2 linked regions of the Anolis sagrei genome follow. The main gene of each other region encodes a partner of the protein of the gene in region 2 in a complex. Links are inferred from orthologs where the notes say so. Each region holds a gene or a part of one and is shown on either strand. Other genes may lie near its edges. The genes, in order: CNOT8 and CNOT11.

What was found.
Region 1: CNOT11 (region 2) and CNOT8 share a complex: the UniProt entries of both Homo sapiens proteins name them as parts of the CCR4-NOT complex. The link is inferred for Anolis sagrei from reciprocal best matches to the Homo sapiens genes CNOT11 and CNOT8.

The regions. Positions count from the first base shown.
Region 1 is NC_090022.1:81,790,931-81,806,538, forward strand, and holds the start of CNOT8 (CCR4-NOT transcription complex subunit 8), read right to left. Parts: upstream 7,597-15,608; 5' UTR 7,282-7,596; intron 7,218-7,281; exon of another isoform or gene 7,055-7,217; intron 327-7,054; 5' UTR 262-326; coding exon 145-261; intron 1-144. UniProt on the Homo sapiens protein: Has 3'-5' poly(A) exoribonuclease activity for synthetic poly(A) RNA substrate. Its function seems to be partially redundant with that of CNOT7.
Region 2 is NC_090023.1:103,544,424-103,559,534, reverse strand, and holds the start of CNOT11 (CCR4-NOT transcription complex subunit 11), read right to left. Parts: upstream 5,755-15,111; 5' UTR 5,427-5,754; coding exon 4,976-5,426; intron 499-4,975; coding exon 334-498; intron 1-333. UniProt on the Homo sapiens protein: Component of the CCR4-NOT complex which is one of the major cellular mRNA deadenylases and is linked to various cellular processes including bulk mRNA degradation, miRNA-mediated repression, translational repression during translational initiation and general transcription regulation.

The sequences.
Region 1 (15,608 bases), on a different chromosome or scaffold from region 2:
CCCAAAATTGCCAGCCTCTAATCTAAAACATTAAGCAACTTTCTGTTTAGGATCAGGCTAATGTGTTTCAACCAAAATGACTCAACTGTCTAGAATAAAATTCAAGATTTTATATGCAAGTTGAATGTTGAAGCACATGCTTACCATTGCAATGTAGCTGTAGCTGAGAACAATTTCCCGAATTTTCCTCATCTCTTCTTCTAGATTGTTTGCCCATACTTCACAAATCACCTGACTATTTTCTGCGAGTGCTGCTGGCATCTTGAAAAATTTGCACAAGAGTTGCAATGGCAAGACAGGAACTCCCAGATGTCAAGAATGTTACCCTAAAGGAACAAAGAAAGATTAAAGATTCTTTATCCCAAAAATAATATTCAGTGTCACCCAAAGCCTCGCACAACCACATATTAGACAATGCATATTTTCTCAGAACTTCTAGAGATTTTAACAAGATGTATTCCGAAATGACACTGATTATAGTCTAGTGCAGGGGTTCACAACCTGTGGGTCCCCAGGTGTTTTGGCCTACAACTCCCAGAAATCCCAGCCAGTTTACTACAGGTTGAGAACCACTGATCTAGTGCAATGTTTATAATTCAGTACATAAAATCTGATTAGCACATTTGACTAATATAACCATATTATACTTGTATATTTGCAATATAAATCATATCTAATAATATAACTTAAATGAAAGGCAGCAATATATTCTTTTAAAACTTTTAGGGCTACCTGTGAAATATAAGCTCATGTTGGGTGAATGAAGTATATATTTTAATAATAACATCTGAGGAAGTTTGTGAAATGATGCCTGTTCCAGTACTGGCAAAGGCAACTATTGTTTCATATATGTCCTAACAGGAAACACACCCTCTCTGGTACAGCCATCATCTTTGATTGCAAACTGAGCAGGGGGGAAATATTTGCTTCCCACCATTTATTCGTTAGTCAGCTTTCTGTACTATTAATTAGTTTCTGTGAAGCAACTGAAACACCTATTTACAATCTGTTCATTAAAAGGATCCTCACCTGATTAAGACGACAAAATACCTGGGAACTGGAAGGAGGTGAGGAAGAAAAAGGTGTATTTGGCTGTGTTTTGAATATGTTCACTACACAAATTCAAAACAAAATTTAAGTTAAAATAAAAAATAGAGAAAGATAGGATATGACTCTAATACTTCTTGGAATAATTGCAGTATCCTACAATTAACCTTATACATTAAACAAGTCTTGAAATGTTTTTCAAATGCCTACGTGATATTTACGAGGGGCTGATAATAAACATTATGTAGGTAAAAGTATGATTCACTACATTGCAAGGCAATAAACATGCACTGTTAATTTGCTGCACTAGGTCAACCTAACATGTAATGCTTATTTTCCACAGACTGCTTTGTCTCTGCCCTCTGCTCTGTTTCATTAAACACAGTAAACACATTAATTTATATTCAGGGGTCAGGATTAGGACAATGCATGTTTTTTTTGGTTCCTTAATATGTGTTTAACCAAGCGCCCATAAATTCTGACTTATCTAACTAGCCATTATTGGTAGCTAGCCATCATCACACTTTACCATCCAAGCAATAAAATAAACTACAGGGGTTTCTGCAGTGCAGGAGAGAAGGCACATTTCTCTGAATCTGTCTCGGGTTTTGCATGACACAAGAACTTTTCTGTGGTTCTTCCTTTTGGAAAGAGGCAAACCAACCTTTCCTGTGCTGGGTATGTTGAGCAGAATCAATTACTACCAGTAAGCAGGTGAGTGGATTCTGGGAACTCATGTTTAGACTTTGGCCCCAACTGCAGAATATATCATTATGTATATGCAAGCACAGGTATTTCACATTTTTTTAAAAAAACAATCCTCAAATCCCAAACATTTCTGGTCCCAAGCACTTGGGATAAATGACACTTAACCTGGATCCAATATAAGCACCTACTATGCCACATCTATAAAAGGCTACAGCTACATACAAAACTGCTGATTAAATTAAATCAAATACAGCTGTGGGAGGGGTACTGTTGACTGAGCCAACCTTAAAAACTCTGGCATAGACACTGAGAACTGGGAAGCCTTGGCCTGTGAGCACTCCAGCTGGAGGTCAGCTGTGACCAGCAGTCCTGCAGAATTTGAAGAGGCACGAATGGAGGGCGAAAGAGAGAAACGTGCCAAGAGGAAGGCGCATCAAGCCAACCCTGGCCGGGACCGCCTTCCACCTGGAAACCAATGCCCTCACTGTGGGAGACGATGCAGATCAAGAATAGGACTCCATAGTCACCTATGGACCCACCCTAGAGGATTATCCTACTCGGCCAATGAGGGATCACCTAAGTAAGTAAGTGAGTAACAGTTGACTGATGGTGGTGTCATAAATTTGGGGCTCCTCACACCGATCTGTTGTTGTGTTGTGTTTTCCAGCACAAGAAAAGTCGCAACTTGTAACATTGCAGTTTGTGACATATAGTAAAGAACAATGTCTACAATAAACACCAGAAACAACACTGGTGTTTTCACACACAAAAAATCGTAACAGCTTCCAGTTTTCAAGACACTCAAAACACAATCCAGCAATAGCAGTGCAATGATCCTAATCATGACTAATACTGTACAAATTGGATTGCTGACTAGGAATTTTATCAGTTCAGCTTCTCTAGCTATTATGGCAAGCATGTTTTACAGGTACCAAATTCCTTTTACTTATGACATAAGTCCAACCGAACATGGAGGTAACCACAAACACAATGGAAAAACTGCCACAGTCATGTTGCCTCCCCCCCCCCACACACACACAAACAAACAAACAAAAGCATCAGAACAGGAAGCAGTCAGACAAGTTAAGACTGCATGTGAATAAAAAACAAACATTATTTCACCATTATTAAATAAAATGTATCACTTAACTATTACAAGAAACTGAAAGGAGCCACAGCAGGGCATTTAGTTTCAGCTAAACATTAGAAAGCTAGAAACCGTTTTTGTATAACTAAGTCTACTGTTCATGTACCATTAACAAGTGCTGAAATAAGCTGCCACCATATGACCTCTTTGAATTTAATAAAGAGATAAGAAAGGTGAAACCAGTCCTCCCCGTCTTGAAAACATAACGGAAAAAACACCAACCAGGGGGTAAGAGAGAGAGAGAGAGATCTAGTCAAACAATTCAGATAGTGTTAAAAGTATGGTTATATTTTCATGGCACAGGGGTTATGGCTGTCACAGAGAATATTTATTCTCTTGAGATCAAAATAACTGACCAGGAGAAACAAGATGATATGCAAACCAAAGGATCATGGATATCACAAGGTATTCAGCTCTTGGACTGATAGTTCTTCAAATATCATGGGAAATGGTGTTGGTCAAAGGAACAGGAAAGTTATGTCTTATAAGATACCTTGCCATTGACATGATTTTGGACCAAAAGAATGTCCTTACAAGTTTATTTACACGAAGTACTGTACTGGGTAACTTTACAATTAGAATAGAAGAGATACGAGTTTGCACTATGTGTAGTCCATAGGAGGACATGACTACCTAAATATAAATGTCACTGACATCATACACATTCTTTAGATGTTGGGGGGGGGGGTGTGCCTTCATGTTGTTGCTGACTTATGGCAACCAAATTAATTCTACATGGTTTTGTCTTTAGATATACAGTTGGGAAGTGTTCAAGGACAGATACCATATGAAATGAACTTTGGTACCATTGCTGTTGGAAAATATAGACAATGTGTTGTTGGAAAAAAAGGGGGTTGCCAAGAGGGATGTTGAAATTCAGGACTGTCCAACTATAGCTGTTTGTGACCCTGTGGTGGTAGCAAAGAATAGTAGGATGCTGCCTGGATCCAATAAAGTGCTTATGTTATAGATACTGTATGACTGAGATTCTCAAATAAGATGCTGAGATCTAATTATTAATTTCTCAGAAAAGAATGTCTTCACTAGGCTAAGAATAACTACTTTATAAGAAAGAGCAATGGCAGATCATGATTAACGTATCCCTAAAATTCTCCACACAAAGTTTAATTTGCGTATTTAAAAAGATTTCATAAGTTGAAATTTATTTACAGCATCAAACAGTTCTGGTTTTATCAATGCCCTTGAGGCATGCTAATCTCCTGAATACAATAGCTAACTAGCCAAAGGTGCTGTATTGCGTATTGTTTTGTAGAATCTTTTGAATATAATGATTGTAGTTGTCACAAATTTCTGCGTGAAACAAGAGTTTTGTTTCAGTTGTGCCACATATTAAGAGAACCCCCATATATGAAGACATTTTTAATATAAAAACATATCCTGAGTGTAATGTCTTTCATTTTCTACAATCAGGAAACACTGCATTCAGTCTGAATTTTATTACTGCCTTTTCTTATCCTCCATGCCTTTCACAATACAGATTAAAAGCCCAGGGGGGAATCAGAAAATTGGATAAGGTTAACACAGAACTTCCTGCCAAAGAAGGACCTGAATAAAGAAACAATTGGGGGTTGAGGAGGAGGGAAGCAATGAACATTTTAATTTTTTTGGAAAGCATTCAATGCTTTTAAAAACAAGAACCAAGCAATCTCCAGCATTAGGATATTGCAACAGAGATCCTGCTTCTGCTTGTCTCAATGAAGATGGCTTACAGAAGGAATGAGAACATCAGTCACTGCTTCCAATCAGTTGGATCACAGACCTCCATCAAGTGCCGGGCCTTCTACCCAGCCAGTAGGAATTGGGGTGAATGGGATTCACTGTGTAACACTATAAATATGGTGCCCATGAATCTATAGCTTCCTAACAAGAATCTGACAATTGTTTTAGTCATTCGAAATGTGAAAACAGAATATTTTAAAGTAATGTCTGTATATGTCTGTCTATTGAAGACATAGACATTTTTAAATTCCTGACATTTCTGCATTTCTGGGATTGTACTATCTTTACTAAAGGATCTCAGTGAATCTTATATTCTTGTGAACTGATATTTGCTTCCTGCTTTGCAATCTCCGATGTAATTGAGATATGTTGTTTTGGAGTGCCTTCAAATGATTTCTATATCATGAGAACACTAAAACAAACCTAGTATAGAATTTTCTTGTTCAGAGAGGGTTTGCTCTTGCCTTCCTATGAGGCTGAGTGTGTGACTTGTTCAAGGTCACCAGTGGATTCCCATGTCTGAGCAGGTAAACATGTACAGGACTGCCCTCAAAATATATGTAAATTTTATTTTTTTTAAATCATCAACAATATCTATGAAATTGTTAAAAGAGAACAATCATCCTCCACACTTGCTAGGGTAATGGGTATAAAACCCTTGTGAAAGTGAAAACCCACAAATAAAGAAAATTCTATTTTTTTTACATGAGAAAATATATTGCTAAAAATTCGTAGTTCTTTCAACATGACTATGATCAACTTATCTTGGAAGCTGATGCACTGGAGAACCTGGAGAAATTGTACTTCTCTATGCGCTATCACTTGGAATTGTTTTTTTGAACAAATACTGCACTAGTTTATAAACAATTATTTGTATGCACAATTACACAGTTTATGCCCTGTATACAAGAAGCTTTTTTGTATCGATTACTTAAATGACAAAAAAGAAATGTTATTTGCACTGAACAAAAGAGCGGACTACTTCCCAACATGTTCATTCAAGGTGCTTTACTTTAAATTATGATAAGAATGTACTTTCATATTCCCTCTTCACACGAAAACCTAGCAAGAGAGAACTCTGTAAATACACACTGCATATCCCCTATGCAGCCAAATGAAATGCTCCAAAATTGTCCATATGAGTAGCTGAGATAGCAAAACCTTTCTGGTGGTTCAATGTACAAAGCTCATGCTCAAAATTATTAAAATGTATATAAAATTATCTTCAGACTATGTGTGGAAGATGTCTGTAAAATATAAACGAATTTAGCACTTGGGGGTCATCTTCAAGGTATCTCATTATATACGTAGATGTAAACAAAGGTATTCTAAAATCAGAAACAAAATCCTTCTGGTCTAAAGCATTTCAGATCAGGGATACTCCACCTGAACCACCTTTCTAATTGTGTCTGCTTCTTCCTTCATGATTGCACTATACCTAAATGTGCTGCTCAGAAGCAAAGAAAGGGAAACAATAGGAGAGGCTAGGCCATAAGCAATATTCACACAAGCACACAATGCTAGGCCCAGTAAAGCTCCTCAAAAACCAGGAATGGAAAGGCATCCCTCTTTGGCTCAAATCCCTTACATGTATGTGCCTTCAACTCTCCTGTTGACTTATGGAATGAATTTCATAGGTCTTTCTTAGGCAAGGAATATTTGAAGATGTCTTTTGCCATTTCCTTCCTTTGAAACATGGCCTATAGTGCCTGCTATTCCTTAGTGATTTCCCACCCAAACAAAGAGATATCTGACCTATTTATACAGATATGGTACAATAACTTGTTAGGCTATATACTTCTTGAGGGATATCTTATGTGTATAAAAAGGAAACTCATACACATATATATGTGCATATACATACACATCAAGTTGCCCGCTGATTCTTTGAATTTCAGAGGGTTTTCTTCAGGAAGGAATATTCAGAGATGTTTTCTGCCATTTCCCTCCTCTGAAATATAGCCTACAGCACCCGCTATTCCTTATTAGTTTCCCATCCAAGTATAGATAATTGTCCTATTTATACACATACAGTAGAATAATCTGTTACGGTTGCATCCTTTTAGGGGACTATACCATGTGATTAAATGTACTTTCAAGGTGCTCATCAGCTCAATGAATTCCCTAAGGTTTTCCTAGGCAAGGAATGAGGTGTTTTCCCCAGTTCCTTCCCCTGAATTATAGCCTAAGACGCCTCCCTGGCGGCCTCCCACCCAAGTGTGAACTAGGCCGGCCCTGCTTAGGTCCCTTGCCCCTTGCAACATGGAGGCCTTCCTCCTCCTTCCACTGAAGGATTCGCAGGACTGTCTCCTCTGCAAACTCGACCCCCCCCCACCCCCCACTACCACACACACACACGCCGTTTCCCTTCCAATTGATTCATGAGGGGCTGAGCCAGGTGCCTGCTCTCACTTCTGAAGGGGGATTTTGGCAGAAGGGAAAAGCACAATCCCGCCAAGGAACGAGCACGCTCTCTTTCTCCCTTCCTCTGGGCCACGTTATGAGGCAAAAGGGCAGCCAGCCGAGGAGGCTTCGGGGAGAAAAGGAAGACCGCGAGCAGGAAATCCGGTCCGTCCCGCTCTTTCGCTCCCTCCCCGCCTCAGGAAACCCCGCGGCCGCCGCCGCTTCCGCCGCCTTACCGGAAGAAAACGGCGCGCGCCGGCCCGTCCTCGCTCTCGCGTCGCCTGTGTTTGGGGCTGAGGGAGGGGGGAACCGAGGAGGAGGCCGTTCTAGGCTACCTCCGTCCCATCACTCGGTGATGCGATGTGGATGTTTTGTTGTCGCCTTTGTTTTGCTTCCTCCGCTGCCTCTTCTCCGCACGCATGCGCCCTGGAGAGCAGCAACGACCCTCCCAAGGTTGGGCACCGGAAACGCAAGGGAAGCGCGCGCCTGTTTGCGCACGCGTGTGGAGCCACCCCAAGGGACGATGTTTTTCCTAATGCGCATGCGTGTGGAATCTCCTCACAGGACGCGCTTTTTCTTACTACTCATGTGCGTGGAGCCGCCTCAAGCGATGCTTTCCTTCCTACTGCGCATGCGTGTGGGGCCGCCTCAAAGGACGCTCTTCTTCCTACTGCGCATGCGTGTGGAGCCGCCTCAAAGGACGCTCTTCTCGCTACTGCGCATGCTCTTCTGGTCTGACTGAAACTGGAGCAGCCTGCGGTTCGTGGGGAAGCCAGGCTGAGAGGCGGCTCTGTGGGAGTGGCGACGGAGAAGGAGCCGGTTATCTCTGCTGACAAAGTGTTTTGTAGCATTTAAAACTTCTTTCCTGGGTACTCTTATTAATGTGGGCATAAACCCTTAATGTTGAGAGTGTGCTATGTGGGAGAGGACTGCCTGATTTATAAGGAAGTGGCCCTGTTAGTCTCTTGCAGCATAACAAGGGGGAGAGAAGCAAGAAAGATGGCAACATATTTAAGTAATTTGGAGGGGGCAAATACATACACACATATATATATAAGACCACTTATTTAGATGCAGGGCAGAGTGAGAATAAGCCAGATAATTAATTACCTTTATTGCATCCAAAGGTGTGGGTTTATATCCCACAGAAACGCTTGTGAAAATAAAAAGGAGCTCTCACATTTCTTTTTTCTCCCTCTTCTTTCTTCCTTTTCATAATTTCGTTTTCTGTGCCGGGCGGGGAACATGAATGGGACTGTGATGGCATACTTGAGCTTTTGGGAAGACTATTGTCTGTCTTTACTCAGGGGCTATCGGATACCTTCTGTTAAGATTAAGTCCCTTAGCAGACAGAAGCTCTTTAGGCAAAGTGAAAAGATAACCAAAATGAGTTTACTACAAACAAGAGGAATAAAAGAGTTAACTCCACTCGGGACTATCATTAGGTAACTTAAAACAATACATTACAAAAGGAGAACTTACTGGTTGCAGTCATATTTCTGGCATCTTCTGCCTCTGATGTAAAGTAGTGAACTGTCACAATCTTCTTCCTTGTGAAGCTTAGGCTGACCAAAAGCTTCTGTTGTCCTTTGGACTGTAGTATATAAAAATACTGCTAAATGCACCAGGTGCTAAGAATGCCTGTTTTTGGATTCCTTGGCCTAGGATTACCAGACAACGCCACAAGCCTGTAGAAAAGGGAGGAGTCCATCAAGAGAGCACTATACAGGGAAATGAAATAGACCAGCTAAGACTGGCCTGTGGGGGGATTTTAAGATTCACGCAAAAACGAATACAAAGAAAAGTCTCTACACTATTGGGAAGGCCTGTATACAGGGAGAACTAACACAGAGGAGAGGAGAAGGCAGAGCCAAGACTTCACAAGGACCATCAGAAATTGGTGGGCAACTATCATTCCTAGCCTTTGGAAATGCTCAGTTGAGATTCATTCTCAGTTACTTCCAAAGGGTTGTTGCACTCTTTGCTAAAAGGCTTATCCTTTTTAAAATAAAAGAATTTGTTTCTAGGTTTAAAGGATTTATAAAACCAATCTGTGATTTGGGGGGATAAATTGTTTAAGGCAGAGCTTTCCGAACATTTTATGTTGATGACACACTTTTTAGACATGCATCAATTTGCAACACAGTAATTCATACACACACTTTCTTCTTCTGCAGATCCTGCTGCTTGGCTCACCATTGTCCTCTCTTGATAACATTCTTCATGATGTTAACATTAATGCTGAGAATCTCCTCCTTCTCCCGAATTTCTCTTTTGGACTGACTTTTTCATGCACTTCTTAGGGCCATACAGTAGAATATGGTGGACCCAATGTCTGTAGAATAGTTAATCCAACTGGGGTTTATTCCAAAATTTAAATCCCACAATATCTGCTTTGAAACGGGATTATCTGAGTCCACACTGCCATATATTCCAGTTCAAAGCAGATAATGTGGGATTTTATTCAGTTGTGTGTAAGGGACCTTTGATAGTTTCTCTAAAACCGGGCTGAGTCCCTCAGTGAGGTTGAGAAGCTCGGTATAGAAAACTGTGAAATAAATAAATAAATAATAAAATTTGAAATAAAAGGCCATAATGGATTTGCTGCTTTACTAACATGAGCACTACTGGGATATTCAGTCATCTGAAGACCTTTGTCTCAGCCTTTCTTCTGTGGTGCTTTGATTTGGCCTTCATCTTACCTCCTTCGGTAAGGCTTAAGCCCTTTTGTTTCCCCAAGGAACTTCAGCTCAATTATTTTTCTTGACCTACTCCTTAAACACCAGAGTTTCAATCTTCACTTTATCCCTGCTTAAACATATTTATTAGAAAAATATACAAAGGAATCCAGAAACACCTTTGAAACTTAGATAAGAATTTTCTGGCATAAGCTTCTGTAAACTGCAGTGCATGGAGTGAAATCTCTGTGGACAGAGATATATTCCAAGGCAAGGGTGAAGGAATGTGAAGTGTAGTAGCAATTCAAAACATGGAGTGGTGAGAGATTTCTTTAATTGTGATCTTTATTTATCATGTCAGTAGCAAAGCAAACAGTTGTATTGAATTTTTTAAAAAAGCAAACAAACAAATCACAAAGTTTGTAAGCTTGGTAGTTGATTAAATGCCCTTTGACCAGTAGCTGGCCACTTGGAGCGCCTCTGGTGTTACTATAAGAAGGTCCTCCATTGTGTATGTAGCAGGGCTCAGAGTGCATTGCAGCAGATGGTCTGTAGTTTGCTCTTCTCCACACTCGCATGTTGTGGATTCTACTTTGTAGCCCCATTTCTTGAGGTTGGCTCTGCATCTCGTGGTACCAGAGCGCAGTCTGTTCAGCGCCTTCCAAGTTGCCAATTTTTCTGTGTGCCCAGGGGGGAGTCTCTCATTTGGTGTCAGCCATTGATTGAGGTTCTGGGTTTGAACCTACCACTCTTGGACTCTCGCTTGCTGAGGTTTCCAGCAAGTGTCTCTGTAGATCTTAGAAAACTATTTCTTGATTTAAGTCGTTGACGTGCTGGCTGATACCCAAACGGGATGAGCTGGAAATTTCACTGCCTTGGTCCTTTCACTATTGGTTTTCACTATTCCCGGCAGATGTCAGGTGGTGCAATACCGGCTAAACAGTGTAATTTCTCCAGTGGTGTAGGGCGCAGACACCCCGTAATAATGCAGCATGTCTCATTAAGAGCCACATCCACTGTTTTAGTGTGGTGAGATGTGTTCCACACTGGGCATGCATACTCAGCAGCAGAGTAGCAAAGTGCAAGGGCAGATGTCTTCACTTATGATCATAAGTAGTTTATTAATATTATACCATAAGTCACTCCCATACAATATTTAATGTAGCAGTATAAAAGTACTACATAAAATATATGCAAAATATTCAATTCAATGCATACATTAAATATAAACAATACTGTAAAAGCATCCCCAGAGGAATTGGTTGGAATATCAGTGATAAATCTTGCCTAATTTTTCATCTCAGCCAGGGCAAAAAAAGAAACCTTTCAAGTTACCATGGAATTAATATCAGACAAGAGATTAAAAAAAATTCTGAAATATTATTAGAAAATAAATAAGCTAGAAAAGATCCAAAAAATTTGCTTATTGGTTAAGAATATGATGAACAGAAGAGGAAATAACAGGACAAATCATCAATTTCTAGGGCTCCACAAATAGAGGATCAGAAGAATACAAGGATATCTGCCATCAATCATAGCAGTAGGCATGGCTTGAAAGCGAAGGGCTGTAAGCATTTGCCTAACTTTGGAAGTATAAGCTTAGCCAGGTAAGCCCCTTGATAGTCAAATTATAGTCTCTGCCATTTTGAGAAATTTGTTATTAAGGCCCGTCTGTCCAGTTGTGTACCATGGTGAAAAACCATACTCGCAATACTTTAGAATTCAAGATAGAACAATTGTCAAGCAGAGTAGGATACAGTTGAAGCAACCTTTTATATCTTGAACTCCAAACTGCAGTTTGATAGCTGTTCAAAACGTATTTTGAGGAAAACTCCGGCAAATCTTTCAAAATTCTCCAGTAGTTAAATAAAATGAAACGTGAGATCTAATAGAAGGTAAACTGACCTTTGCCTGAACTAGGGCTGCAATGTACCAGATGAAAGTATTTGCAATTTCTCAAGAAATGTTTTCTTTTTTAGTCTCAATTGTTGTTATTTTTTTAAATGCAATTTAAAACTCGTGTATTCTGAAGAGCTTCCATTTTTGAGAGTCTGAGGGCCCTATCAAACAGGCTCTATATCCCAGAATCTGAACTTAGGTTTTCTGTTTCGCCTAGATTATCCGGCAGCGCGGTCTCATATAATCCAGTTTAGAGCAGAAAACCTGGGATCAGATCTTGGAAGATAGGGCCTGTTTGGAAGGCCCTGAAAGTCATCCCATCCCCAGACAGTGCCACTGTACACAATCAGGGCAATGACTGAACTGGAATATTTTCAGGCCTATTGACCCCCTACATGGTGGAAAAAAATCTAAAGATTGCTCCAACAGATCTCAAGATTACTGCTTTAGTAACTTCTATATGAGGCTTCCAGGAGTGGCTTTCTGTAAAAAGAATGCCCAGGAACTTAAATTCCATGCATTGTTCAATCTCATGACCACTGAGAACAGGATGTCCTTTTCCAAAAATTAGCACCTTTGTTTTAGTATAGTTAATGTTCAGTTATTTAAGAACAAACGGTGCTGAGCGTAAAGAGCAGCCTTCTCAGACCTGTAAGTGGAATTAAACCACATTATCTGCATATAAAATAAGACAGCTTTGTCCCAATTGAGGACGGACAGAATTAAGCGCCAGGAAATAGTGGGATTATGTAGTTCAGGTATAAATTAAAGTGTTATGATGGAAACAGTTATCCTTGCTTTATTCACCGAGACAAAATCAGTTAATGAGCCAGAAATGCCAACTATTATTTTAGCATTCCTGTTGGAATACAAGTTCTTGGTTAATAACATTAAGTGATTAAGTGAGCCTGTGTTAGATGGGGTTACACTCCCCCTGAAGACACAGGTTCGCAGTTTGGGAGTGATCCTGGACTCATCGCTGAGCTTGGAACCCCAGGTCTTGGTGGTGGCTGGGAGAGCTTTTGCACAATTAAAACTTGTGCGCCAGCTGCGCCCGTACCTTGGGAAGTCTGATCTGACCACGCTCTTGTTACATCCCGAATAGATTACTGCAACGCAATCTACATGAGGTTGCCTTTGAAGACTGTTCGGAAACTTCAACTAGTCCAGCGGGCGGCAGCTAGACTTCTCACTGGAGCATCATACAGAGAGCATACCACCCCTCTGTTATGTCGGCTCCACTGGCTGTCGATTCAGTTCCGAGCACAATTCAAAGTGCTGGTCTTGACCTATAAAACCCTATACGGCACCGGCCCAGCGTACCTGTCTGAATGTATCTCCTTCTACGTCCCGCCTAGGAATTTAAGATCTTCTGGAGGGGCCCTGCTCACGGCCCCTCCCTTGTCACAAACGAGATTGGTGGGGACGAGGGACAGGGCCTTCTCGGTGGTGGCCCCCCGCCTGTGGAATTCACTCCCCGGGGAAATTAGATCATTGTCATCCCTCCTCTCTTTTAGCAGGAAATTAAAACATGGATATGGGTCCAAGACATCCAGAGAAGAAGACTCATCACCCCTTGGGACAGTTGGTTCCTTGTCAAACCATTCTCACTGTCAAGAAGTCCCTTCTAGTGTTAAGTCAAAATCTACTATCCTATCATTTGAGACCATTTGATATGGTTCTATCCTCTGCACTCTCCTCTCCGTGAGAGCCCTTGAAGTATTTACTTATTTATTTATTTACAGTATTTATATTCCACCCTTCTCACCACGCAGGGGACTCAGGGTGGATCACAATGCACATATACATGGCAAATATTTAATGCCATAGACACACAACATATATAGACAGACACACAGAGGCTATTTAGCTTCCAGTTTAATGAGCATATGTTCGAATTCCAGCCATCAGGGGAGCTGTTGCTTCACAGTCCACTTGTGACACCGATGGAGTATTTCCTCATTCTTTTGCACGCTGCTGGAGATTTTTATGGCGTCGTAAATTAGTTAAAGTAGCCTCCCAGCATAAGTGGTACCTAAATTTCCTACTTGACAGATGCAACTGTCTTTTGGGCTGCAAAGGTCAACAACAAGCTAAACAAATGGTCGTGAGCTTACTCCAACCCGGGCTGGCTTTGAACTCATGACCTTTCTGTCAGTAGTGATTTTAATGCAGCTGACTCCGAACCAGCTGCGCCACAACACTTAATCTCATCTCCATCAAGATAAATATGCCCAGCTCCTTGTATGTTTTTTTCCTCCGTATCTTATCACCCCCTTTACTCTTCTCTGAGCACGTCAACTTGTCTCTGGATCTCTTGCAGGTACCTGCTGGAGATGTTTTAGTTGGGGTTGAACCAAGAGGTCCTTCCAGTTCTGTGATTGTGCCTGGCGATTCCTTGAATTACCTTGTTACCTGGTATCAAAGTACTAGGCAGGTCACAACTTGCTTAGCTTTTAAAATCAGATGGGATTAGGTGATGTACTTTTACTTCTTGCACATCAGAAGAAGGAATATTGATTTTTAATGCTGGCTTAGTTGCCTCCCACATACTGGCTAAAATATTAGGAAAACATGGTAGTGGGCCAAAAACAGCCAATGAGAGTAAGAAAGAAAGATTTAATGTAGCCCTACTGTCTGGTTGTTGAGGTTTAGAGTAGGTAAACAAGAGAAAAAATCCCCTACTTATTGTACTAGGGAAGGCTGTCTGGTGAAAGTGAACTTCATCTGTTTTGTGTTCTTTTCCATGGTTTCATTCTCTCCCTCCCTCCTTTATCCTATGTGATTCTTGACTGAATGTGTATTGTATCCCTTTAGCAAGACTGTAAGACCACAGTAAAAGAATAGAAGAAATGAATAATGAGAATGTAAAAAATGCTGTCCTAAAGATCTGCAACTTGGCATATAATGCAAACTCAGCAGCACCATCCCTTTAAGTGGCGTTTGCTACCAGTGTTACAGATTTGGGGGGGGGTATTGAAGAGGATTAAGAGATTGTAAATGTGTCCCCCTTTACCACTTGACATTATTCTGTAGGAATAGAAGAAGATGCCTGAGTCAAACACCACTGGCTCCTGTAGCCCATTGCAGACAGGCAACAAAGACTCTTCAGCTTTTTAGATGGAAATTCTTTCCTTGACCTTCCTGGAGATTCCATAATATTTCCTGTTGTTTTCCCGTCCAAGTACTGAGTACAGAACACCCAGAAAACAATACCCAAGATTCTGTGCCAGCAGACAAACACACTGGTTAAGCAGCACTAAGGAGGGGATACTATTAAAATGCCACAGAGGCAATGGCAACAAAGAGAATAAAGGGGGAAAATGAGTCAAGATGTTTTTACACTGCCTGCTTCTAGGTGGGCCCTCAAAGCTAAAAGCTCTCTGCAAGGAAACTATAATTTGGCCAGCGGGGGGGGGGGGGGGGTAAAATCACCCATCCTGCAAAGGTGGAGACAGCTTCCTTCCCACAGTCACTCCATAAACTGAGAAAAATGACCCATGAAAGCATTATCAATTGTTATGGTAGCATAGTTTCCAACAAATTTCAAGCCATCTGATAATCTTTGAACTGTTATATATGAGAGGGGTAGAGACAATGTGGAAGCCCTCATAAAATTCCTATGCGGATATTGTGGTGTTTAAGCACAACCAAGGGCCCTTCCACACAATCCTTATATCCCAGAATATCATGGCAGAAAATCCCACATTATCTGAGTATGGACTCAGATAACCCAGTTCAAAGCAGATATTGGGGGATTTTCTGCCTTGATGTTCTGGGATATAAAGCTGTGTGGAAAGGCCCCAGAGCAATGTGAATTGCTGCTTCTTTGATGAGGTTACTAAGCCCTATGACAGTTTTAATAAGTCTGTCGTAAATTATTGTAATCTACCTGTATAATCCATTATTAATTGATTACACAATTGCCAGCCCCAATTATGATCTTGGCTCTAGCTTCATGCATGTTGTTTGCAGGTCAAGAGGAA
Region 2 (15,111 bases):
ATAATAAATAGAGTATTAAATATGCCACTTCCAAAATCCATAGGCTATCTTATAGGATCACGCATAAATATATCTCTATGCACTCACAGTGATCATCATGCCCCCACACCAAACAATTAAAAAGCCTCAATTTTTTAAATTATGGATTGGCATAATTTGTTGTCACCTAAATGCCACAAATGATTTGTTTGATCACAAAAGTCAATGTACTTTTAAAAGTGACTTACGGAGAAAGGAGTAATCCTTACTATCTTACACGCATACACTCTCCTACCCAAAATCGACATTTCACTGTACAGCAACCAAACTGCAGCAACACAATTTATTTCTTACCCGCCAAAGCCAGCTGGAGGCCACTTATGTCTACAGATTGGCCCATATTTCCTACATCCATTGATGCAATCTGCCGTGGAGTCTTTTTGAACAGCTCTCTCGGGGGAGCCAACATCAACTGGGAAAGAAAGAATCTCTCTGGCGGTGTTATTGGAGGTAAAAAACCTGCGAAGAATAATAACAGTCATACCACAAAAGAAGTATTTTACACGTACTGAAGTGTCAAATCACAGTTACTCCAGAATTGCACAGCAGAACAGTGACTGTTGGTAGTGGCACCAAGGGACTCCCAAGAGGGAGGAAAAATTAGTGAAACCCGCCTGCCTTATTTTCAAAACCAGGAAATTCTAGTTAACACAGTGGAAACCTTGGGTACATTCAACTATTTTCTATGAATGTAAGAACTTTGTCTCTTTTAGAGCAGGAAGCTCTGGATGCAGCTAATTAAAAAGATCAAATAAAGGAAGAAAACAGTTTGGATGTTGCACTAATAGCTAGTTTTTCACAGGCAAATTATGTGTGTGTGAACATAAGGGAATAACAAAAAAGAACTACGAAGGTACTGTTTGGCTATAAATTAAGCTAAAATATCTAGACAGACTATACATGTATACAACTATATTTAGCTTTTGAGGGATCTTAATACAGTATTTTTGTAAGCTATATTTCTCATCTCGTTTACCCTCATTTGAGAAACTTTCAGAATGACTTTATAATAATTGTCACTGCTTAATATATTTCTGATACTAGTGAACAATTGTTTGTGATGTTTATCAAACCCATCCTTACAATTCTGCAAAGAAAATAATCATTCTTTTCCTTATACTCGTAGATGAAGTACTAAGTCAAGAAAATGGCAACTTACTCAAGGCCATCCAGTTCTAAAACATACAGGTGCTACCACATACAGGAAATAAGTGCTAGCAAGCTGCCTTCTAACTAATTTAATGGTTGCTCAAAACTAGAACTGGCCCTCCAGGAATCTTCCATCTGTTGGTAAAAAGGATCACAAAGAGGGGGGATTTTAACGCCTCCTCCCATGTCCCACCTACACTATGATATTTTAATGACTGTATGTGTTTTTATGGTTGGAAACCGGGCTGAGTCCCTCAATGAGGTTGAGAAGTTCGGTATAGAAAACTTTGAAATAAATAAAAATAAATAAATACTTAATTGACCAGAGAGATACATCTGATTACACCTCACACATCTACTCCCTGCTACTCCTTCATAAATTATTCGAACAGAGAAGGGAGTCATGACTGAAGGACAGTTTACCCTGCTTCCAACCTGCCCTGGGTGGTAGAAAGAAAGAAACAGGAAGTAGACCAACCACTGACCACGGCATTAACTACTTTTGTCAGAAAGTGGCCTATGACTTTAAAATTATGCACTCAAACATTTCCACTGCTGGCCTGATACAACTTTATGAGATACAGACAGCAGTGCTGTGCAATTATATATAAATACAGCTGGAAAATATCTATTTTGCTGAATGGGAATTCGACAAGAACATTTTAACTGCCTATAATTAGCACATATGAATGCTTGTGTTTCCCCTTACAAAGCAATACAGTTTGTAGAAATGTTTATTATATCCAGAATTGTAAAATATTATGGGTGTTATACTCAGGGGGTCCCCCTGAGTATAACAAAATAGAAGGCCTTGAAATAGTGCTTCACTCACTAGCCATTTTCCTCTGCTTGGTAATTTAACCAGACTTATTTAATAAATCTTATATATTATGGAAGTGTGGTAGACAGAACTGATACTTAGCAGGCATTGATAAATTGTCTTGTTTGACCAGAAAAAGATCATAAATGACATTTCTCAGACTGGAAACTCCTTTTGGACTTTTTGCAAAGAAAGAAAATGCTTTGGTAACTTTTGAGTACGATTATTAAAAAGAATTTATTATAGAAGCTTAGCATATGCTTATTCTAGACAGAGAGATTATATGAATAATCATTTTCTTCTCCAAACAAGTGTTCTGTAGCATTTGGAGACTCCCATTAGTTATAAGTTTTATAATTGTGTTGAATTTCAGACACGGAGTCTGAATTTTTCATCACGTTGTCCTACCATTGGCCAAGAATTGCCAGTGCCATGTTGGTTTTGCAAGCTCCAAGAGTTAGCAATACATACAATATGTCTCCTTATTGGCCAATATTTTTATAGTTCCAAATTATATACGAACATGGTACAGTATCCATTATCCAAAATGCTTGGAACCAGCAGTTTTTTTTTAATTTTGAAACATCTGTATTTGCTCATACATACATGATGAGATATCTAAACACAAAATTCATTTATGTTTTATATATACCTTGCACATATAGCCTTAAGGGAATTTTATACACAAGATTGTAATAATCTTGTGCATGAAATAAAGCCTGTGTACATTGAACCACAAGAAAGCAAAGGCGTCTCTATCCCAACTACCCATGTGAATAATTTTGTATATTTCAGATTTCCAGATAAAGAACATATATAGTATGTATAACTTCTGAAAATATGATTGGAAATCTTTTTTTCTTTTCTCTACCTCTATTTTCTTTTGTTTTTTCTAGATATTTTTCAGTGTAATTTTAAAATCAATGAAGACAACAGCAGATAAAGCACTACTAGAGAAACCTTCTGTGAAGCACACTGCAACAACTATATTTAATTTTTCATTATTGTTATAGAGGTCTTTCAGTGTAGTGTTTAAAATCAATGGCAATAATATCAGTAGATAAAGCACTACCAGGGTAACCTTCTATGAAGGCAAACAGAACAATATCTATTTACTGAAAAGATGAAGATAAGTCATCTGATTTTTTTCCCTTTTTCCTTATTTTTCTCTTTTTTCCCTTTCCTTTTCCAGATAACTTTCAGTGTAATGTTAAAATCAATAACAATATCAATAGTGACACCACTATCAAAGAAGTCTTCTGTGAAGGCACACACTGTCAAATTAAAACTGCTGAAAAGACAATAGAAATAATCTTTTTTCTTTCTGTATTTCTTTTTAAAAATGTTAAGATACATTTAAGTGTAAAGTTAAAATCAATGATAATTTTAAAAGTGTCTAGAGCGACTTGAGAAACTGCAAGTCGCTTCTGGTGCGAAATAATTGGTTGTCTGCAAGGATGTTGCCCAGGGGACGCCTGGATGTTTTACCACCCTATGGGTGGCTTATCTCATGTCCCCGCATGGAAAGCTGGAGCTGACAGGAAAGAGCTCACCCTGCTTCCCCAGATTCGAACTGCCAACATTTCAGTCAGCAGTCCTGCCAACACAAGGGTTTAACTCATTGTGCCACAGGGGCTCCACAACAAAATTAGCATCACTAGATAAAGCATGACTGAAAAAACATGTGAAGGCACACAGCAGCAATATCTCATTGCTGACAAGATGACAGTAATAATCTTATTGTTCTCCTTCTTTCCCTTTTTCTTTCTATTTCTCCTTTTACATTTTACTTTATTTTTTTCTAGATATCTTTCAGAATAATATTAAAATCAATAATTCAGCAATACATACTAGAGAGACCTTTTGCGAAGGCACAGACATCAAGATTTAACTGGTGACAAGACAATGCAAAGTATTTATTTATTTATCGTGTCAGAAGCGAACCAAGGTTACAGTTGTAATGTATTTAAAAAACGCAAACAAAGTTAAAAACTTGGCATTATACTAAATGTCCTTTGACCAGTAGCTGGCCACTTTGAGTGCCTTTTATTTTCCACCCCACTTTTTTCTAGTTCTCTTTTTCTCATACTTATATATCTTTCAATATAATGTCCTTTTTCCTTCCTTAAGCTCTGAGAGGGGGGGGGGAGGTAGTTTAACCCCCCTAACATTGGTCATGATTGGTATATATGAGCCAGCTTTCTCCAGACCTATTGTGGGTGGGATTCACATGCTTCTTCAGATGTGACTGGACTACAACTCTCATCTTGCTGTATCAACCCCGCCCCCAGAGATGCAATCGGTGAAACCCAGGACTGCTGACCAAAAGGTCGGCGGTTTGAATATTGGAGGTAGGGTGAGTTCCCATCTGTCAACTCTAACTTCCCATGCAGAGACATGAGAGAAGTAACACATCTGGATGTCCCCTGGGGGCAACATCCTTATAGACGGCCAATTCTCTCACACCAGAAGCAATTTGCAGTTTCTCAAGTCGCTCCTGAAACGATAAAAAAGCTAAACAAGAAAACAACCCACAAGTATTTTAATTTGGATCACGAGGGATATGTGTGCCAAGTTTGGATCCATCACGCAATATAGGAGCACGTGTGGTTCAAACAAACAAACATCCATACCTAGCTGAGGCCTGTACCCTCCAGGTGCTTGGGCCTCCAACTCCCAGTTGGTCCAATGGTGCAGAATTCTGGGAGTTGGGAGGCCAGATCAGCTAGAGCAGGCCTGGGCCAACCTGGGCCCTCCAGACGTTTTGGACCCCCAACTCCCACCATTCCTAACAGCCTCAGGCCCTTTCCTTTTCCCACTCTGCCGCTGCGGCTGAGGGGGAAAAGGAAAGGGCCTGAGGCTGTTAGGAATGGTGGGAGTTGGGGTCCAAAACGTCTGGAGGGCCCAGGTTGGCCCAGGCCTGGGTTAGAGGGCCACAGGTTGTGCAGACCTGAATGGGTGGCTTACCTGAGAGCGGGGGCTTCTCGCCGTCGTCGCCGGCGCCTCCACCCCCCGCTCCGGCCGGGCCTGGCCCAGCTGAGCCGGATCCCGCGGATCCCGGGGCGGCGCTGGCGTTGGGCTGGGCGGCGGTGGCGGGGGGCGCTCCGGGGGCGGCGCTGGCGCGCTCGGGCGGCGCGGGGTTGAGGAGGTGGGCGAAGATGGCGGCGAAGGGGTTGGCGGCGAGGGGCTCGGTGCGGTACATCTCCCAGAGTAGGTAGAGGGCGGTGAGGCGCTGCGGCGGCGTGGGCAGCAGGTCGGGCTGCTGGAGGAGCAGCACTAGCACGGAGCCCACGCGGAAGTGCTCGGCCTTGCCGAAGTAGTGGTGGAAGGCCGTGGAGAGGCCCTCGAAACTGCCCCCGCCCGCCTCCTCCGAGACGATGCTCAGCAGGCTCGACAGCTCCTTCGGCGAGAGGCTCATCTTCTCCTCAGGGCAGGGCGGCTCCAGTCCGAAGGAAAGGCCGCCGCGGGCGAGAAGGCCGCGGCCGGGGACCGAACCCGCCGCCTCTGGGGCTCAGCCGCCCTCAGAACAACTCGCACGGGCCCCGCCCCCGGGCATCCAGCCTCGACCCACCCCCTCTCCCTCTCCCTCTCTTTCTCCTCACGGCCTCTTCCTCTCCCCTCTTCCTCCTTGCGCGCGCTCTATTGTTCAGCCTCTCACCTTCCTGCCGTAAAGCTACCCCCCACCGCGCGTTTTCAACACTGTCGCAAAATTAAAGGCAGAGGAGCGGGAAACTGGCCCGAGGGCGGGACGGAGGGAGGGAGGAACTATCATTCTCTCTCTCCATGGGCCAGATTGATTTTCGCCGAGCCTTGCCCATCTGATTGGTTCTTCCCAGCTCGGATACTTGAGGGAAAGACTGGATTGGCTGCTCGAATTTGGAACGTCAGCAGGAGGAAAGGGATTGGCCGATTCCTTTTTCAGGCGGAGCGCTTTCATCAGATGACCCGAGACATGTGTCGCCTTACAACAACAAAACTTTATTTCTATACCGCTCTACCACCCCTAGGAGCTGTCTTCATAGACCTGTCAGCAGCTTATGATACTGTCAGTCACCGCCTCCTCCTTAGAAAAATGTATAATATCACAAAGGACGACCACCTCACCCGCCTCATAGGAAACCTGCTACAAAACAAGAGCTTTTTTGTTGAGTTCCAGGGCCAGAGAAGCAGATGGCGGAAACAGAAGAACGGCCTGCCTCAGGGGAGCATGCTCGCTCCATCCATGTTCAACATCTACACAAATGACCAGCCACTGCCAGAAGGGACAGAGAGTTTCATCTATGCTGACGATCATGCCATTACTGCTCAAGCAGGAAACTTTGAGATGGTTGAACAGAAGCTCTCCGATGCTCTAGATCAGGGGTCCTCAAACTTTTTAAACAAAGGGCCAGGTCACAGTCCTTCAACTGTTGGAGGGCCGGATTATAATTGGAAAAAAATAGAAATTCCTATGCACGCTGCACATATTTCATTTGTAGTGCAAAAAACACTTTAAAACAATACAATAATTAAAATGAAGAACAATTTTACCAAATACAAACTTATTAGTATTTCAATGGGAAGTGTGGGCCTGCTTTTGGCTGGAAAGGTAGGATTGTTGTTGTTGTTGTTGTGTGCTTTCAAGTAGTTTCAGACTTAGGTTGACCCTGAGCGAGGGCCTGATAAATTACTTTGGAGGGCTGTATCCGGCCCCTGGGCCTTAGTTTGAGGACCCCTGCTCTAGGTGCTCTTACTGCCCATTATGGGGAAAACCCACTGATCCCTAATCCATCTAAAACACATACATGTGCTTTTCACCTCAAGAACAGACAAGCATCCTGAGCTCTGAGGATTACTGGGAAGGAATCCCACTGGAGCATTGCAGCACACCCAAATACCTGGGAGTCACTCTGGACCATGCTCTGACCTACAAGAAGCACTGCCTGAATATCAAGCAAAAAGTGGGTGCTAGAAACAATATCATATGAAAGCTGACTGGCACAACCTGGGGATCACAACCGGACACAGTGAAGACATAGGCCCTTGCGTCATGCTACTCTGCTGCTGAGTATGCATGCCCAATGTGGAACACATCTCACCACACTAAAACAGTAGATGTGGCTCTTAATGAGACATGCCAGTGGTGTAGGAATGTCTGCGCCCTACACCATTGGAGAAATTACACTGTTTAGCCGGTATCGCACCACCTGACATCTGCTGGAAAGTAGCAACCAATAGTGAAAGGACCAAGGCAGTGACATCTCCGGCGCATCCTCTGTTTGGGTATCAGCCAGCACGCCAACAATTTAAATCAAGAAATAGTTTTCTAAGATTTACAGAGACACTCGCTGGAACACCTCAGCAAGCGAGAGTCCAAAAGTGGCAGGCTCAAACCCAGAACCTCAATCAATGGCTGAAACCAAATGAGAGACTCCCCCCTGGGCACACAGAAAACTGGGCGACATGGAAGGCGCTGAACAGACTGCGCTCTGGCACCACAAGATGCAGAGCCAACCTTAAGAAATAGGGCTACAAAGTAGAATCCACGACATGAGATTGTGGAGAAGAGCAAACCACAGACCACCTACTGCAATGCAGCCTGAGCCCTGCCACATGCGCAATGGAGGACCTTCTTGCAGCAACACCAGAGGCACTCCAAGTGGCCAGCTAGTGGTCAAAGGACATCTAATAGAATACCAAGTCTGCAAATTTTGTGTTTTGTTTGTTTGTTTGTCTGTTTTTTAATGCAATACAACTGGTTTGGTTCGCTCCTGACATTATAAATAAATAAACCCCGAGGGGACTCAGAGCGGTTTCCAAGTAACATCATCAATACATTCAAAGTAAACAACATAAAATTAACAAGACAATATAAGCATAAAAATCACAATAGCACATATATATTTAAAATAATCCTGCCTGTTCAAGGCAATTTAAAAGGCCAGGCCAAGGCTAGTGCAATTTGTAGAGGGCCCAGGAAATTAGGTAGAGTCTATGGCTGTTCATTTCCAGGGCCTAATAGGAGGAAGTAACCTGGGTACTTGGTAGAAAAAGATATGACCATATTCAACAGTATCTGGGGCTGAGCTAGAACTAGTCGTCCTCAAAGTCTTGTTTAAACCACCAGATCTTCAGGCTCTTATGAAAGGAGAGGAGGGATGGGGCCTGTCTTACTTCTCTAGGAAGGGCGTTCCAGAGGCGGGGGGGCCACCACCGAGAAGGCCCTCTCTCTCATTCCCACCAACCGTACTTGTGACGGGGTGGGAGCGAGAGGAGGGCCTCCTTGGAAGATTTTAAAGTTTGTGCCGGTTCATAGAGGGAGATGAGATCGTGAAGATCGGGGCCCAGTGTTTCTCAATCTGTGTGTCCCCAGATGTCTTGGCCTTCAACTCCCAGGATCCTAACAGCTGGTAAACTGGCTGCAATTTCAGGTAGCTGTAAGCAAAACACCTGGTGACCTACAGGTTGAGAACCACTGCCTTTAGAGCAAGCATGTTCTGCCAACATAGCAGTTTGAAAACATGCCAATGTGAGTAGATCAATAGGTACCACTCTGGCGGGAAGGTAACAGCGCTCCATGCAGTCATGCTGGCCACATGACCTTGGAGGTGTCTATGGACAACGACGGCTCTTCGGCTTAGAAATGGAGATGAGCACCAACCCCCAGAGTCAGACACAACTGGACTTAATGTCAGGGGAAAACCTTTACCTTTACCTTACCAAGAGCAAGCATGGGCAAACTTTGGCCCTCCAGGTGTTAGGAGTTGTGTGAGTTGAAGTCCAAAACAGCTAGAGGGCCAAAGTTTGCCCATGCCTGCTTTAGAGATTGGCATTCTCTTTTCCATACAGAAAGTCAGGGTTGAAGGATAATAACACTATGTAACACGAGTTTTGTTCCTAGGTTATAAATGTTGTTTCCTGTTTGGTTCTATCCTGGGGAAAAGGTAGCGTATACATTAATAAATATGGATGCTGCTTTCTCTTTTTCTTATGTTTTTTTCCTGCTTTTTAAAAACACTTTTCCAAGATGAGGAAACAAATTTAGAGGGGAATCGAAATAATTGCCCTAGGTTTATTTTATTACTTTAGTAACATTAAAAAGCTTCATTTATAACTTGCTTAGCATATTAAAATGGTACTGTTTGGTGTGTTCATGAAATTTAAAAGCCTTACGTTCATATAAGCAAAATTGTGAATTATTAAAGAGTTATAACTCTGTGCCACCTAAACAGATAATAATAATTTACTACATATAAGACATATAACCGGCCTGAGTCGCTCGTCGGAGGTGAGAATACCAGTATATAAAAGTTCTAAATAAATAAATAAATAAATATAAATACGTAAAAATAATTTTATATTTTAAATTTTAAAAATTAAACAATATTGTTTGATTTTAACCAGTTTTATCTGTGAGCCATCTTGAGTCGGATTTGCACGCATTATTCGCCAATACATCACACAGTCCTTGGGAAGTGTCTGGCATGTGATCAAATACAAAAGCCAGTGGAATGATCTTGTTTGCTGTGTACTAATCTTGTTATTAATCTAATGATGATGATGATGAATTTATTACCCGCCTCTCCTTGCGGCTTGAGTCAGGGTACACCATTATTACAACAAGAGATAAATCGCTATTAAAAGACATACAAGATACCCAGAGTTAAAATATAAATTAAATCCATTGATAAAATTTAGATTAAACTTCACAATTTAAAATTTACTGGGTAGGCCTACCAAAAGAGATGGGTCTTCAATTTGTCTTAAATTCCAATGTGCTCTGGATGTTGCCATCTAGAAAATAGGAAATTATAAAACAGAAACCACACGTTTTGTAAGATATAAAATTAAGTATCATTCTGATACATTCACTCTCTTAAGAATTAGGCTACCACAGTAGCTTGTTTACATATTTAACTCAGCCCTGAGAACACAGCTTTTCAATTGTGTGTTATGCAAATTACATAACACTAATTGTGGACAAAATTAGCTCGTTAAATAATTAGTGTCTTTGTCAAAATACTAGCCTCTAATGAAAACCAGGTTTGTTTCTGTAAAATAAACTTTTGCCAATTTTTAAAATTATTTTTGTCCCCAGTGTCCTCTAGAGGATATTTTTGCCACCCTGGGCCAATTCTGAAAGGAAAATAAGCTGGAAGCATTTCCACTCACTTATTATTTAAAAGTCCTCTTCTGGGCTTAAAACGCCTGGGATGCACAACTTAAAAACATTGCAAAAATGTCCCATTCATCTCTAGGGAAGAGATAATTTGGGGAGTGAGGGGAGGAATTGCAGCCCTCCAAGATTTCCTCTAGGGCAGTTTCTCAACCTGGGGGTGGGGGTCGGGACCCCTGGGGGGGGTCACAAGGGGGTGTCAGAGGGGTCACCAAAGACCATCAGAAAACACAGTATTTTCTCTTGGTCATCAGGGTTCTGTGTGGGAACTTTGGCCCAGTTCTATCACTGGTTCAGAATGCTCTTTGATTGTAGGTGAACAATAAATCCAAGCAACTACAACTCCCAAACGTCAAGGTCTATTTCCCCCAAACTCCACCAGTGTTCACATTTGGACATACTGAGTATTTATGCCAACTTTGGTCCAGATCTGTCATTGTTTGAGTCCACAGTGCTCTCTGGATGTAGGTGAACTACAACTCCCAAACTCAAGGTCAATGCCCACCAAACCCTTCCAGTATTTTCTATTGATCATGGAAGTTCTGTGTGCCAAGTTTGGTTCAATTCCATCGTTCGTGAAGTTCAGAATGCTCTTTATTGTATGTGAACTATAAACACCCCAGCAACTACAACTTCCAAATGACAAAATCATCCCCACTCCCACCCCACCATTATTCAAATTTGGTCGTATTGGGTATTTGTGCCAAATTTGGTCCAGTGAATACATCCTGCAAATCAGATATTTACATTTCAATTCATAACAGTAGCAAAATGATAGTTATGAAGTAGCAACAAAAATAATTTTATGGTTGGGAGGTCACCACAACCTGTATTAAGGGGTCATGGCATTAGGAAGGTTGAGAACCACTGCTCTAGGGCTAATATGTTGGTTATGTGTATTCGTCAGTTTGCTCTGTAGCAATTTCATTTGTTTTTGTATTTCTGACTTAATAATTTTGTTTTACAATCATATATACAAAACACTTTTATATTTGTATTACTCTTTCCTCACCTAGTATGTGTTAGGCAGAGCTAGCTATTTCTTGTAAGTTTTTATGCACATTGGTAGTGTTATATAGGCAGAGTGTGTACTCGATTGTATACGTTTGGCAGAGCTAGCTATTTCTTGTGGGTTTCTATGCACATTGGTAGTGTTATATAAATTGGTGATTATGATGACTATAATAACCCATCTTGGATGCCTTTCAGTTAGCTTGTTTTACAAGAAAAAGGAAGTGAAGAAATAGCACAGTGTTATCACTACCTCATAATGCTATAGGGCATTTAAGAAGGAAACTGGAACTTCTTTGCTTCACCAGGAAGCGGTCTACAATGGTCCAAATTCTATTTTGAGGTGCTGGAGAGAGCAAGACATATTTAGTAATTCATAGAGGCTGCTAGGACCTGCAGAGTTCATCTGGCCCTCAGTGCAGATGCCATATGGTAGCCTTCATTTTGGGGGTAGAACAGAAAGAGAATGATAAATGAAGTCATAATTTCTTTTATTTTTTGCATCTTTTATGCCAGCAGAACTGTGTTCTGGAAGCAAATAAAATGCTTGTGATACATTTACATAAAATCATTACCACTGCAGAACAACTGTGGATAAAGTTTTAAAAACATTTTATGCCATTTGCTTCTTTATTTGCTTCTTGCTTCATGGCTTCTATTTCTACTTCTTGTTGACAATATTTTATAAGTGCCTTGAGTAGCTTCTTGGATCATTTTTCTCTTCCAGTATATTGTTCCACATCCAATTCTTTAGTGCCTTTGAAGTATGAAGTATGTCTATAGTGTGTCTATTTTCCCCTTCATCACATGATAGAGGATGCTTTTATACAGTACTATAGCAGCAAATGCATTTAATAGGGAATTATTGATTTTCCCTAGCAGCCCTGATATATGAACACTGCAGTCTTCATAGCTAATATAAAGCATTACATATATTTTTAGTTTTGAAAGGAGTTTATGATTTAGGGTGACTTTAAAAGGACACTATCATGGGATTTTCTTGGCAAGTTTTAGTCAGGGGGCGGGGGGAATGTGACCTTTAGCCTAAAGTCTGAGAAAATGTGACCTTTGCCTAAAGTCACTTGGTGGGTTTCCATGGCTGAGTGGGATTTGAACCCTTTTCTCCAGAGTAATATCCACTTCATGGATAACAGAACACATTTATACTGTACTCCATTTCTTTCTGCAGCTTTGAAAACTCCAGTAGTATATTTGAAATTCAAAAGAAAATATGTAGAAAAAGCAAGATAGCAAGGCAAGGCATACATTTTCTATACTATAGTGGTCAGTAATAACAATATTGATATAAAACAGACGAATTCTGGCATTGTTGTGATTTTTTTAAATGCCTTGAAACACGGTATGCACTTTTATTGTGTGAGTACAGTTCAAATGCTATCTTCTGTACAGCTGCCTAAAAGTCAGCCAGAATAACATGGAATGGAAAGTAAAGGTGTTATTGTGAAGATTAATGGGCCTAAACAATGTGTATGCCTATTGTGTCTGTTATGGCCACACACAAAAAGGAGTGGGGGTGAACAGAAACAAAGACAAAAACTTATTGAAAAATATGTCAGTTGAAGATTTATGAAGTAAAACAAACTAAGGATATTGCATAACATTCTCAAATAGTTTTGTGGGAAGATATGTAAGACCGACTATGTGCATTCCTGTATATATTTAATCATAAAATATCCTTGAATGTTATTGATCACATCAACTATGTGTTGGCAGGACAACTTCCTACAGAAGTAATGCAAGAATAATCATCATTCTTACTTCTATTATAATGCCTTAGGGAAAATATTCTCCAAAGCACTCTAGTTTGACCCCCAGCTGTAAAAGGTAATCAAGATGCAGGGCACAAAAGTTTAGAAAAAGCTACTGAGCAGGCTGATTCTACAATGGCCCTATTTTGGTGCCAAACTAATCGGTATAGTATATCCAGGCTGCGGCAGTTTAATGGCAAATTGTTACTACAGAGGGAAAAAAGCAACAGCTATTTAGATACACAGAATGGAATCTTGGCCTCTAGTTAACCTGCTGTTTAAGGAGAACATTTAATTGTACAGCACCCTTGAAAGTACAAAGCTAGTTACTGACTCTTGCTAATTAACGTGGCCAGAAAGGCAGAGCCCTTGCTTGAGAGGACGTATGATATTGGATGTTTTCTATGATAAAACCATAGAAAGAATTTGCACTGTTCAGCTGATTTCAAATAAACCATGAGCAAAATGTTCCAGCATGTTGTAGTGGCTAAACCCTAGCTATTTATGTGCAATGCTAATTATCTATAATATAATATAAAGATCTAGTCACCTTAATCTGTTTCAGCATAAAAATATTGTAAGATTAACTGAGAAAAAATATTTATTATATTAGCTTCCTTGAACTTCAACCCACTCCATCTGGTGTATGAAGTCTTGGTAGAGACATAAATATACCAAAGTGGAATGGGGAAGGAGTGTATATAGCAGTAGAAATGCAAAATATTTACGTATGGTGATGAGGTCACAAATTCATTGTCAATGATGTTTTAAAAAGTAGTCAAAAGGATACTGGAAGATATGTTTTACATACAGCCAAGATGATGAACTAAACATACAAATAGTGGTGGTGATTGTGGGGTCTTGGTCTACTGCATTGATTTGGGTACTGGACCAATAAAGTGTTGCAATAAATTAGGCATTAAATCCCTATTTAGTAGCTGGAACGTCAACCATTGTGAGTACTATGCCAAGAAACCATTACATAAGCCAACAAAATCAAACTTTTTGTAATAATCAGAAATGGGAGTAACACAGTTTAAATCTTTTTTATGTTGATTTTAAATATAACTTTATTTTTTCCCATCACTTCAATTTTAAAAAAATATGATGAATGGTACATTGCAGCTGACCACTGTAAAGTCTGCACATTTCACATCATATTCGTCTAACACAAACCTACAAGTATTTTTCATCAGATATAATTTTAGGTCATTTTTACAGTTTTTCATGCAGAATTCAGATCTGTGTTACTTTTTCTCTATCACATGCAGTTTTTGCGATGAGGCTAATCAAATAATCAAATAATTAATGCATTTACACAATGATATTAGTAGAATTATTATTCCTAATATCTGACTTGTGTCCATTTATCCTCTGGTCATTATCTTTCCATAACCTGGTGTCTTCCAGAGGTGTTGGATTACAAACTCCCAATAACATTGACCATGGGGATAATGAGAGTTCGTATGTATTCCAACATATCTGGAACATGTCAGATTGGAGAAGGCTGTTCCTGAGGATTTTCCAATGCAGTTCCAGCACTTTCACAGGGAAATAAAGGGTGGAAATACAAGCACTACCTGCCCCATCCATGAATGAGAGTACAGAATATCATTGCTCTGCAATTTTCACATTAAAATGTGAAAATTAACTGTCATTCTGTTGGCCACGAGTGGGAGGCAGTCAGCCAGACACAACTCCATCATGTCTTACTTGTCACATCTTATTATTTTATGTAGATGGGAAGCCTGAGGGCAAATTAATGTTTTGTAAGTCACTCTGAGAGCCTTTGTTGCTGAAGAGAAGTATATATATACTCTACATAAATAAATAATAAAATTAAAAGACTATATTTTGCCCATAGGTGTCAATGTTAAAATCTGGAGCAAGTGCATGTGGGTGTTGGAAAGTTTCCCATTCCCATCACACTGTGGGAAATGCAAAAATAGATTGATGGAACGCATCATAATTATCTTGGTGAGCCCTGTTGTTCTTTTGACATACAGTACTGTATTTCCACTGGCTCATTTCCAAAACTTAAGTTTGGAAGCCATATCCGTTCTGTGCTGGAGCTGGAACTTCTTTGCCCCACCTCCACTCTGGGAATGAGATTATTCAATGTTTACGTGCTGTAGGCTATATTTCAGAAACCCTATAAGATCATAGGG